3 linked regions of the Oryzias latipes genome follow. The main gene of each other region encodes a partner of the protein of the gene in region 3 in a complex. Links are inferred from orthologs where the notes say so. Each region holds a gene or a part of one and is shown on either strand. Other genes may lie near its edges.

The links.
Region 1: the proteins of protein S100-A10 (region 3) and hltf are in contact, whole or in part, in a crystal structure (PDB 4HRE), measured with the Homo sapiens proteins. The link is inferred for Oryzias latipes from reciprocal best matches to the Homo sapiens genes S100A10 and HLTF. Residues at the interface, in NP_002957.1 of Homo sapiens: Phe42, Asp58, Leu59, Asp60, Gln61, Gln70, Ser74, Leu75, Ala77, Gly78, Leu79, Ile81, Ala82, Tyr86; in NP_001305864.1 of Homo sapiens: Thr32, Phe33, Phe34, Pro35, Phe37, Phe39.
Region 2: the proteins of protein S100-A10 (region 3) and anxa2 are in contact, whole or in part, in a crystal structure (PDB 4FTG), measured with the Homo sapiens proteins. The link is inferred for Oryzias latipes from reciprocal best matches to the Homo sapiens genes S100A10 and ANXA2. Residues at the interface, in NP_002957.1 of Homo sapiens: Phe39, Gly41, Phe42, Asn45, Gln46, Ala51, Lys54, Ile55, Leu79, Ala82, Cys83, Tyr86, Phe87, Met91; in NP_001002857.1 of Homo sapiens: Val4, Glu6, Ile7, Leu8, Lys10, Leu11, Ser12, Leu13.

Annotation. Positions count from the first base shown.
Region 1 is NC_019880.2:5,874,556-5,878,603, forward strand, and holds part of hltf (helicase-like transcription factor), read right to left. Parts: coding exon 3,981-4,048; intron 2,738-3,980; coding exon 2,666-2,737; intron 1,671-2,665; coding exon 1,479-1,670; intron 1,207-1,478; coding exon 1,132-1,206; exon of another isoform or gene 1,052-1,131; coding exon 991-1,051; exon of another isoform or gene 920-990; coding exon 868-919; exon of another isoform or gene 777-867; coding exon 712-776; exon of another isoform or gene 618-711; coding exon 570-617; exon of another isoform or gene 218-569; coding exon 110-217; exon of another isoform or gene 37-109; coding exon 1-36. UniProt on the Homo sapiens protein: Has both helicase and E3 ubiquitin ligase activities. Possesses intrinsic ATP-dependent nucleosome-remodeling activity; This activity may be required for transcriptional activation or repression of specific target promoters.
Region 2 is NC_019861.2:37,474,788-37,479,369, forward strand, and holds the start of anxa2 (annexin A2), read right to left. Parts: upstream 3,108-4,582; 5' UTR 2,938-3,107; intron 2,126-2,937; 5' UTR 2,115-2,125; coding exon 2,064-2,114; intron 1,175-2,063; coding exon 1,081-1,174; intron 268-1,080; coding exon 173-267; intron 29-172; coding exon 1-28. UniProt on the Homo sapiens protein: Calcium-regulated membrane-binding protein whose affinity for calcium is greatly enhanced by anionic phospholipids. It binds two calcium ions with high affinity. May be involved in heat-stress response.
Region 3 is NC_019869.2:1,215,901-1,219,566, reverse strand, and holds protein S100-A10, read right to left. Parts: upstream 2,047-3,666; 5' UTR 2,001-2,046; intron 1,389-2,000; 5' UTR 1,369-1,388; coding exon 1,240-1,368; intron 1,167-1,239; coding exon 1,005-1,166; 3' UTR 925-1,004; downstream 1-924. UniProt on the Homo sapiens protein: Because S100A10 induces the dimerization of ANXA2/p36, it may function as a regulator of protein phosphorylation in that the ANXA2 monomer is the preferred target (in vitro) of tyrosine-specific kinase.

The sequences.
Region 1 (4,048 bases), on a different chromosome or scaffold from region 3:
AGTCATCCGAGTCTGAGGTACAGGAAGACTCCACACCTGCAGACAGCAAGAGGAATTTCACGCAGTCTGAGCTTCGCTTTCACTGAAAAGCAAACCAGCAACAACTTACTGTCTTTGAGGGTGGACTTCTGAGAGGTTTTCTTCTTCTTTGGGCCTGTGTCTGATGAACCACTTAGAGCTGCAGCAAAGTCCAGGTCCTCCAGCAACACCGGAGCCTCTGTGCAACAGACAGAAGATGAGAGAATCAGTCAATTCGGATCCTAAAAAAGTGCTCGTCAGCTATGATATATGTATTATTTTCTGACATTTCTGTCACTGAAACGTTTAAAGTCCCACTCCGATCATCTGTAGTTCTGTTTTTAAAGTGTTCACCATAAATATCATTATGCCGATTTGAGCCAATTTCGAAAAACCTTTGCCGTTTTAGGACATAGTTTCTGCAGAGCGGCAGGAGCTGTTGTGGGTGCGGGTGGGACTGAATGTTGCACTAAAAATACAATTTTCATCACAAAAAGCTTTATCAAGCTTTTATTTTGACATGTAAGCTCACAACTTGAGTGGAGACGCACCTTTACCGGGTTTTCGCTTTGTGGGTTTCAACTTGCCTTTCTTTAACTCTGTAGTTTGAAAAACAAAATTAAAGGTATAAGGTCAAACTAAAGTACAAAAAAAAACACCCGAATAACTTGAAATAGATGTGAAAGCTCGTACTTTTCTGCTTCTCTTCCTTCACCTCCACCACCTCAGACGTGTCGAATGTTTCCTCCAGGTTTACTCTGATTCACAGATTATGTTTGACAGGATTTGTTTTTTCTAAGCTAAAACAAACATCACAAGTTTTTGGTGTCAGGAGTAAAAGATGCTTACATTTCTGAGCCGGGATCAGTTCCTTTTGAACTGCTTGCTCCTGCTGCTTTATCTACATGAGATAAACGCCACGTCATGCTTCCTCGAAACTTTTTGAAATGACATGAAAGGCGGGACGATTACCTTCCCGTCTGGAGGCCTCTGCCGTTTTAGTTTTAACCTTGAAAGGTGAGGGCCGTTCTTGCTGTGCACACAAAAATAATAATAAAAACTGTTGCATTAATGTAATGCTGTGAGAATATAAGAATTAAAAAAAATGCTTACACATTTCTGCACAGGCAGAGGCTTCCCTTTGTGAAAGTTGGTGAGAATCAGGGCGATTGTTGTCAGAGTTTTGCCCTGAAAAGCAGAACAGAGAAGACACATCTACAATTCAAATGTGCCCTTTAGTTTGCCTAATCCTGCACGCTTACGATCCCATTTATGGATTCAATTCAATTCAATTCAATTTTATTTGTATAGCCCAAAATCACAACAACAGTCGTTTCGATGGCATTTTTTAGTATTTCCAATTATCCTAACCTTCATGCCTTTGGAGTGAAACATGGAAACTCCATCACCCTGTGGCCTTTTTTCTAAAACACGGTTGTTTTAGCATCTGAGCGGCTTACCAGTCCCATGTCATCTGCCAGGATCCCCCCACGCACTCTCTCTGGGATCTCTTTGGAGGAGAAACACGTCAGGCTGTTGTAGTACAGATCGCCTCTTTTCTCCCAGAATGGCGGCAGCGCACATTTGTTTTCTCGCGCGCACATCCAGGAAAGCGCTTGTTTCTGGTGAGGCAGGAGGGGCGTGGCCACAGACTGCAGAGAAGATTAAAAAATAAAAAATAAATCACTGTTGGTCCTTTAATGCAGCTGTGAAGCAATTTGTGGGAAAAACATCAATTCTGTTATTCTTCTCACATCACATTATTGTTGCCATGAAGGATTTCTGCCCTCTATCATCATTATAATAACCATTTTTCCTACTTATATGAACTTGTTAAAAGTTAAAATGTGATCACACCTTATAGATCTGGTGGTAAATCTGAGTTTAAGACATATTATAATTAAATTATTTGAAATATTTGGACTGAGCTTTGATGTCGGTTGTTGCGATCGCTACGATTTGTTTACTTTCTTCACATTTCTGCCTGGCAACAACTAAATGATTTATGCAAACACCCCACTATTTTTTGGATCCAGAACAGACATTTTTAACAAATAATATAATTGACTTTAATGTTTTGGGCATGAAAAGATGAATCCAGGTTCTGCCGCTGCACTTTCTTCATCCTTGATAAGGATTATAGTTTCTTCGCTCATCAGCCGACTACTTTAATTACTTTTTAAAATGTTTTTATTTAACTGCCATCACTTTTGGGGCATAAAATTAGAGACTTTTTGCCGGTTGATCTTAAGTTCATTGGACGTTTCTCCTGAAAAAAGCAGCAGGTTCAGCAACTCATGTTTCCTGAGCGTGTGCACTGTAAACTTTGTTTAAAATTTAGCATTAGATGATTCTAAAGGTCATAAATGTAATTGATTATTTTTTTTACAATATTTCGGAAATTGATTCTGTTCATGCTACCGCATCTCTAAAATAGCTAGGTGTTTATTTCCAACTAGATGCCAATTTAAGGTGAAAAATTTCTGAACAGTGAGACTTTAGAAAACAAAAAGACTGAACTAATGAAGAACACAAACAGAAAAAAAACAGAAATCTTTATATCGACTGTTTTCCAGGATATAAATCCAAATGATCCAATCCCAAAAAGGAAACAGCTGACTGACGTAAACACGGAATCAGTACTCGCCTCAGCGGCTTCTTTCTCTCCGTCTTTACTCTCCATCAAACCTTCAAACAGGTTGTCAAAAGCATTCTTCAGCTGAAAGAGACAACAAGTGCAGAACAGAGTTTAGAAATGAGCAAAGGCTAGAAGATTTGTGTCATTATAATAACATGACAAATATTAATTTATGTAAAAAGACCATGAAATGTCTAAAGACCCACTCCGATGGGGTTTTTAACATGTACTTGTGGAACTTTTTTTACCCTCAAGGTGGGGGACATTTACCGTATTTTCCGGACTATAAGTCGCACCGGAGTATAAGTCGCACCAGCCCAAAAATGCATTATAAAGTAGAAAAAAACACATAAGTCGCACTGGACTATAAGTCGCATTTTGATGGGAAATTTATTTGACAAAATCTGGGACCAAGAACTAATAACTTTCACAACCTCATATGACACAATCATAGCAGACTGTTTATCTCATAATTTCACAGTAATTCTTTCTCGTACTTATTTATTTAATCCTTTCATGAATCATCATTGGCCAACTAATACTCTGTTTTCATCCTGTATTTGTAGAAACAGTTTTCACTTTTATTGCATTTCTGAATCTATGAAATCATTGGAAAATAGAATATTATGTTTTTAGCCTTCAAGATCTTACTGTAAAAAAAGGTTTGCTGATTCTCTGAGTCACTTAACATACTCTTAACACTTAACATACCTCATACATCAAATTTAGCCAGGAATCTCTGTTCCTCACAAATGAACATAACAGGAGGGTTAACAATGTGTTTATTTCAATTTATATCTAATATAAGTCGCTGCGGAGTATAAGTCGCACCCCTTGCCAAACTATGAAAAAAAGGGCGACTTATAGTCCGGAAAATACGGTATAAAGAAAATGAAGCATTTCTGGGTACTTCTTTGTTTAGATTGTTGTGAATCAGGAGCAGATGAAAACAATGCTGTTTAAAAAAAGACCGCTTTTGATACTGAAAATACAATCAAAAGCTTCCTGCTCCGCTCCATTCTGATGCATCCGCTTAGAGATAAATAGATCCATGAAGGTCTTCGTCTTCCTCCTCCCATGGCAGCTGGTTCACCAATATTGCTTGTAAACAGATAGGTGATGGGAAGTGGAGGTGGGGCTTTTATTTGTGGCAGAAAAATGGCTTAATCCTAATTAAAAGCCCACTGGGAACGCTTTGAAAATAGATCAAAAGATGATCGGAGTTGGACTTCAACATACTTTTCCCAGAAAATGGAAATGACTACCATTTTCTTTGTCCCGATTCAACAGAAAACAAACATTTCATGTCGTTAAATCCAGTTACCTCCTCTGCAGTTAGTGGGACAGTCACTCCTTTTTTGGATGAAAAAGCACGAGCGCCTGAAATGCTGT
Region 2 (4,582 bases), on a different chromosome or scaffold from region 3:
GCGCCCCCTTCAGGGCGGAGGACAGATCCTAGGAGCAGAGAAACAGGAAGACAGGTTTTACTGCAGTGGAATCTGCAGTTCCATCTCAGATTAGAATAAGGATCTACCCCCCACCCCCCACCCCCACCACCACGGCCACGGCCCCCCGCCTGTGCCCCGGGGGTCCATTCACCTTTTTGGCCATTCGCTCATATTCAAAGGCGATCTCCCGCCGCTGCTGGCAGCTTCGCCGGGTCAGGATGTCGATGATGGTTTGTTCATCCACTCCTGCAGGTGAAACGAGCTCTAACTTTATTTAAAAAGACAAAGTCAGCCACAGACATTCTGACCCTAGCAGCTCCTGACAGCCCAGAAAAACACAGGATCTGCCTTCAAAACAAACATTCTGTTTTTTTTTATGATTTAAAAATCCTCTGGTTAAGAAGAACTTGATGTCATCATCAACATGATCAGAATACTTCAGCTCAGTTCACATGGATTTGGGTTTTTGAATTGATCGACTGAACTGGATCTGAACGGATGGATCAGAACCGCCTTTACTTGTTTTAAATCAATTGGAGTTCTAAAAGTTTTTTCTGTCTTGCTTTGAATTTTGCTGCTTTTTCAGCTTCACACTTCCAGCATAAAATCTGATACAGACTGAATCACAGATTTCAGTTTAAACCTTTGAAATGTTTTTTCTCTAAAGTTTGTTAAGGTTTTGAGACATTTTGGTTAAAGATCAAGTTTCATTTTTGGATCTGCTGTTGAGAACGTGTTTAAATGGAAATATAAACCTTAATTTGCTCTCTGAAATATAAAATGAAAAATCAGTACAGCAGCTGAAAAGAAACCTTAAAGGCCGGGCTTTTCAAAGTAAAGTCCAACTGTCACTTTGGGGTTTGACATTTCAAAACAAAAGCACATTTCCTTCTCTGGGTTTGGAGTTTTTCTGCACCGCAGATCATTTCTGTCTCAGACCCGTTTCTTCGTTCTGACGCCAAAAATCTTTCTGCTGTACTGCAGCGTTCAGACAGGAAGTGCTTGTGTGGCGCAGGTTTGGTTCCCTTCAGGTGTGGCGGTTCTCCCGCCCTTCCTCACCTTTCGTTTTAATGGCAGCATCGATTCTGGCAGCATCGTGAGTCGGGTCAAAGTCCTTCACCGGAACCACAGTGGGACATCTGGGCTCAGGTTCCTGCAGAAAACAGGGAGGAGGTCCAATAACCGTCTGCGGCCGAAGCACAAAGTTCTGCGCCCGCCGCTCACAGAAAAACGGCGTGGAAGGAGCAGAGAGGCGTAGATCAGCGCCTAAGTCTACCATGAAGGTGGAGGTTTAGATTTCACATTCATGTGTGGAACAGCTTCGAGTTCCAGCTCTAGGTCTGCACTCGAGTCCTGAATTCCTCAGCTTTGTTAGTTCGGACTGAGCGGAGAACGGTTCTGCTGCAGGAGGCGGTACGCCGTGGCGGCTCTCTGGACTCAGGATCATGAAGACCTTTGGGATTTTTGGCTCCATGGATCGTTTATGATCACGGATCTGTTTGAGTTCAGGTCAAACCAGAGACGTTCTCCAGGACAGAGTCATACTTCCATGGCTGGAACTTCAACTTCTCAAATTGGCTTTGAACAGTTTCCAGCCTGGAGTCTGTTAAAAACAACCCCATACCATGACACCTCCTCCACAGTGCCCTCAGCCTTATGATCGTCTCTCCATAAATGCTCATGTGAGGAGGTTCAAAGTTCTACAGGAGAGCATCTAATTCCAAACATGACGGGAAACATCCCCACGAAGCTCCGCCTCCCAGTTTGTGATTGGAGGGCTTCACGGTGGTCACGGCCTTGGCCCCGTCGGTCTCACTGCCTTTCTGGAACTTTCTGGGATCTTTTTCCTGAATCTGCTAAGACGACCTTCAGCTGTGAGCGTGAACTCCTCAGAACTTCTGCACTGAGGAGGGAATCAAACGCTCTCCAGACTGAGGCCTGCAAATGTTCACAGCTTTACGGTGGGCCCTCAGAGCCTCCGCCTGATGGGTGGAGTTTCAGAGGATTTGACCACGTGGGCCGAGTGTTGACCGCAGACTCACCCCTCCGTACGCCAGCGTCAGCTGACCCAAGAACTCGGACACCATAGCCATGACGAGTTCTCCTGCAGCACAGACACTTCCATCAGCATCATTTCTTCTGAAAATAACATGAACTGTTTGTCTTAAAACACAAACGATGATTTAACACGAGAGAATTTCCCCCCGGGTTTCATCCCGGAAGTTTGATCTGCACGGAGGGATGAGGGCGTGTCTGAGGAAGAGGAGGGTCAGTGGTGATGCAGCCCCGCCTGCAGGAATGTGATGACTCCTTGTAATCATAAGAAAGCTCCCTCCACCTTTGACCCTCTTGAAAACCTGCCCCCGGAGGTGTTGGACGATTGCCGCCTGGCAACCATCGGTGCAAATAGTCAGGAGGGGCAGTTCCACCGCTGTTGGCTGGGAGTGCCGCTCTCGCCCTGATGCTCCCCTGCATCTTATCTGACGCTGAACCCTCATCCGTGGACTTTTAACCCGCCCTGCTGACTCAGGCGTTTCACACCTCGTCCCTGCAACCATCAGTGAATGACTAACCGACAGAAAGGCGACTGCTGACTGTGGAACACGTTAATGTTTCACAGTACGAGTATTGTAAGAGTCACCTGCAGTATTTTCCCTGTTTTATGCCTTCAAAGTTTTAGTTGCTCTGAATTTAATTTAACTGCAGCTTCAGATTACCTTTGAAATTTAAATGTTTGCTTTCAAAGTTCCACATAACTGTACAACAACCCAGTCCAGAATCATTTAACATGACCTAAATTCTCAGTTTTATTCATCAACTTTCAAAATAAAAGCTTTTGTTTAGGTGTTTTGAAACTGAAAACCTGAAAAACGTCCTCAGAAGAAGAAGTTTGGAGTTTTTGAAGGATTTTCTTACCTTCGGACAAGCAGCAGCAGAGAAGCAGCGAGCAGCAGCGGCGTTATGGTCCAGAACGGAGCAGGGTGTGCTCTTTATAGACGGTCATGACTCACGGCAGACTTTTACACACCAGGTGGAACGCAACGAATTCCACGGCACGGCTTGGAGGTCAGAAGTGGGTGACGACCAGCTGGTTAAGAGTCCAGCACGCCAGATATGGAGAGTTCATGTTTTATCCAGCTGGTTAATCAAAAGGTCAGAGATGAGCCGGTTTAACTAAAGCTACAAGAAAAAGATGGGCGTTTTGTGTCATGATTTGACCCACCTTTGCTACTAACTTTAATTTAGTTCCTTTAAACATTTCTTAGTAAAAACAAATGCAACAAATCACAACAATTACCAAAGTTTTTACAACAATTTTGTTTCTTTTTCAGACTGCACTGAAATCTTTCAGCTTTCTTCATAAAATCCAAACATTCAAATCAATTTGACTTCTTGTTTTATTTTGAAAGACTCCAAGGAGCAGCACTTTCATTTTTCAGGTTTCTAAAGCATCTCTAACATTTGGTTTTTCCCATCATGCTCTAAGGAGCGGTCATATTCTGCTCAGATGTAACCAGACAGAGCCATAAAGTGGGAGTGGTGGGATGCGGGGGTGGAGGGGGGGTAGACCTTGTTGGGGTCATAATGGGCAATGCACCGCCCTTCCCTACAGCCCTACAGGCAACCACCCCAGAAAGGGGCATCACTGATATCAGGAGTCATGGATACAAAGGAGGGCGGGGCTAGAGACACATCTGTCATCGTTGAGTCTGCTGCTGTTACCATGGTAACAAGTGAAGCCAAGTCCCTGTTGCAACTCGTGTATGACTGATGTTAGCACAAATCCACTGTCTGCCCCGCCTCCACCACCTCCACCAACCCTTAGACCTCTTTCACAGCCAGGCTTACGTCACAACGTCAAAACATCAAACTGAGTCAAATTCTTTTTTTTCCTCATGGTTCCATTCTTTTTTAAACATTCTAAATAAATCATTAAATAATCAACAAATAGAATGAAACTTTTGTCTGATATGTAATTATTATAATCAATTATACCCAATAGTCTGATAATGTTGGAAATATTCCTACCAGATATACAGTGGGGCAGTAAAGTATTCAGTCGGCCACAACCTGTGCAAATTCTCCCACTTAAAAAGACGAGAGAGGCCTGTAATTTACCTCATCGGTAAACCTGAACTATGAGAGACTAAATGAGGGGAAAAAATCCCTCTGTCTGATTTTTAAAGAATGTATTTGTAAATTATGGTGGAAAATAAGTATTTGGTCGTCTACAAACAAGCAAGATTTCTGGCTCTCACACCTGTAACCTGTAATAGCGCTGAGGCCCGTGGTCCACACGTTCCATCTGTCTGGACTCCCCGCCCCCCAGAAGGTAGTTCCCGGGCTCCTGCTGCCTATTGACGACTACACCAAGCTGTGCAAAGTATTGACCGTGTCTGCAAACTGCACACGGCCAAAAAGAAATCAAGGGCACAAAGAATTGTTAAAGGACAAAAATATGGAGCTATATCTATGGATACATGAGGATTTCCCAAAACATTAAGTATTCTGAGGTCACGGTTTCTCAGAATAACGTGCATCTCAAAGGAAAACCTAAACG
Region 3 (3,666 bases):
TTGTTGTTGGACTTCTTCAACCAAACATTATTTTACTGTAAAATGTTTTCATTGGTGCAACAAAGTGGGGATGCGTTAAGACCGTATAGTTTGGAGGTTTGTTAGATCAGTTTAATCCCAGGTGTGGCAGGAATGAGTGAATATTTGTGAACTCTGAGCTCACGCCCCCCCACCTCAGCAAAATATATGGTAAAACTGAGTGTAGGATGATGATTTGAGGCAAAAGTCTCAGTTTCTTCATACAATCAAGGATCTCTACGGTGGTGAGTTGTGCGGCTCACTCATCCTAAAACAAACAAACAGCAGGAAAGTTGGAAAAATGAACTCAGCTGTGTGGGATGTGGGTGTGAACCTCTGCAGTCACACACACAGTCAGAGCCCCGTAACCTAGCAACCACAGTGTTTGCCCTGTAACCACGAACAATGATCAACCGAGATCTGGCCCCCGCCCATAAATGTGTGCACAGAGCTCAGCGAGCGTGCAGACGTTAACCCCTGGGTTTAGTTTTTCCGGCATTCGGTGACCCGCCGCGGGTGGCATGAGTTGCTATGGAATAAGCTGAGCTGGTTGTTTCTTCTCCTTTTGCTTGGATTTCACCAAATCCAGCAAATAACGGATGTTGTGAGAAAATGGAAGGGCTGATCTCCATGTGACTCAGGCCCTCCACATTCTTGCAGTGGGCTGCGACACAGAAGCACATTTCACCGCGTTGCCCAATCTCAGTGTTCCTGAACGCTCCACAAAGCTGAGAGTTTCAACATCAGCTGAGTCAGTCAGCAGATTCCTCAGGGAAATGATAAACAGGACTTTATGGAAGGGAGGGGGCAAGGTTTACCTGCCCTGTCCTCTTTAAAGAGACGCAGTCTCCTGGTCTCAGCTGCAGCTTTAACCAACAGCACATACACACAGACACACACAACAGCTGACAGTCCAGTTTCTTTAATGGATAAAACAATCTTTACAACAAAAATTGAAATGCTTTTGGGTTTCTTCCCATTGTTCTTCACTTCTTCCCTCGCTTCTTCATCTCCATCTGGTAACATTGCTCACAGGCGACCGACAGTCCAACAACCAAAGACACAAACTCCTCAAAGTCCACTTGGCCGTCCCCGTTGGCGTCCAGGTCCTTCATGATCTTGTCTACGGCGGCGGGGTCCTTCTGAGCCTGCAAGAGGTAAAGGAGGGTCAGCCCACAATCCAACCCACAGATTCAGCCCTCTCCTCGCCGGTTTCTGCACCTTGAGGAAGTTGGAGAGCTCGTTCTCCATCAGCTCCCGGAGCTCCCGCCGGTTGAGCTGGTTGTCTTTGGCGTAGCGGTGGAAGACCTTGATGAGGGACTCCATGGCGTTCTCCAGTTCTGAAGGCATGATGCTGGAACGTTCTGAGACTTGAAAAGAGCAGCAGGAAGCGTTGAACATTTTCATCATTTGCTGAGCCATCAAAAAAAGGTTTAAGGAAACTTATGGGGTTTTTTAAGGGGAAAATCTGATTCAAATTTGAGAACATTAACAAAAATAGAATGGCATGGATAGCAATAGAAGGGATATAAAGAAGTAAAAAGTCTGTATGCCACTGTAATCACAGTAATCTTTCTGTAAAAGCATCCAGATGCTTGTTTGTCTTTTGAGGACTGTTTGAAGCCCAGAATGAGAGGGGACAGAAGAAAAGCCCAACACATGTGAAAACATGCCCACAGTCCAACCACACCCTTCCTCACACTCCCTATAGAGGAACCACACAGCAAAGATGCAAAATGTCACAGAAATGGGAAAAAGTGCCACATCGTCTGACGGTTTCCCAACGAACTGCTAAAGTCTGCAGAAATCTGCTGTCAAAAAAGGAAAGTTGTGAAAAAGTTGAATCGTTGACAAGGAAGTCTCAACTAGAAAAGCCCACCACAGATCTAGATCACACAGATCCCTCCTCAAGAACATTCAGGCCGATGGAGCGACAGAAAATCATGAACAACTGGAGACGGAGCAGAACCGTTAGATCTTACCTCACAGGGCAGAGCAGAAGCAGAAGTGCACTGAGGAGGAGTTGAGGAGCAGCAGGAGCAGCAGCAGCTTTATAGGGAGGCGCCGCCCTGACCGCCGCACAGTGACTCACTCAGACTCCACAGGATTGGAGGAAAGCCTCTGGTCACAGAGAGGTCTGACAGTCTTCAAAATAAAAGCAGAAAACTGACTTTTTAAGTCAGACTACAGTTTCCCATCTTTTACTAGAAACACACAGGAACTTCATCTGGACATCAATTTAATGTTAATAAACACAGAATAACTATGACTTTAAAAACACGTATGTCAGCTTCACGGCAGTGAATCATAGAATATATGGAATATCTGCTATCAAACCGCAGACCAACAACACACCCTGGACCGTAAGCAGAAGGAAAGTCCAAACTTCCATTGAATTGTCTGCCTAGATTGATGGCGCCCTCTAGTGGAAACACATCTGTCCATCATGTCTGCTGGAGCGTCCGGCAGGGAACACAGACGCAGATTTGATGAAGGTAAATGAACTTCTTCTCTCCTTTCTGCATCTGTCAGGTCAAGTACTGAGTTTATGGAAATATTTCAATGTAAAAACAGGAAATCCACATCGTTTTTCCGTCTGATTCATAAATGTCTGCAGTGTCGGACCGTCAGTCAGTACTTTAATGACTAAATGAGGCAATGACCAAAGGGTACTTTTTAAACATGGTGGCAATGACAAAGAGAGGATCTATCGATCTAAACCCTACATGTAGAAACAGTTCATCAAGGTGTTCTCTTGTGAATAAATGTGTGTTTGAAGAACGTGTATTGTGTGTGTTTGTGAGCTTCAGCAGGTCGTGTCCATGTGACTCCTGCTGCTGTGGAAACCTTTCAGCAAGCAGGACTCTGGGTTTGGTGAACGGTAAAAGGCGTAGACTGATATAGTGCTTTTTTATCTTCCTCGAAGGCCCAAAGCGCTTTACAGTCACACACAAACATTCACAAACTGGTGGCGGCTCCGCTGCCGAAAGTTGGCGCCAACCTTCCACCATGAGGCAAGGTGGGGTTCGGTTTCTTGTCCAAGGACCGCCCTACCCCTGCACCACAGCCGCCCCATTTGGTTTGGTCTGGAACCGTTAAATAAAATATAAAATAAATAAAGCTCAGACACAAAAGGGATTTGTACAAATATACAATCTGTTTGTCTGAAGATCTATAAATCCCTGCAACACGGATATCACAAACCAAAGCAGGTTTCCATGGAGACTGGAAGGACCCAACAGCTGAAGCAAAAGGCTGGAGAGCAGAGTGGATCTAGAAATCTTTATTTAGCTTGTAGGTTGTATGCTGGGATTAGATCCAAAAAATCTAGAGATGCTTTATCTTTTTAGTATTTAGTTATTTGTTAGTTAGTTGATTATTAATGTTTGACATATTTATTTATTTAGACTGTTTTATTTGAATTAGTTTTTGTAATTGTGGTAAGTCTGCGTCTTAAAAAATATATTTTTAAATTTCTGGTTTCTGGTTTCTGGTGCTGGTTCGGTGGATGTGGTCCAAGGAACGTGTCCCGGTCTCTGTTAGGCACAGGAAGTCCAAACACTCCAACGTGAGGGTGTCGTTGGAACCAAACTGAAATGATTGCGTAATTAGCGGCGCAAACCGGAGCGTGCTCAAGCCCCGTGGTTT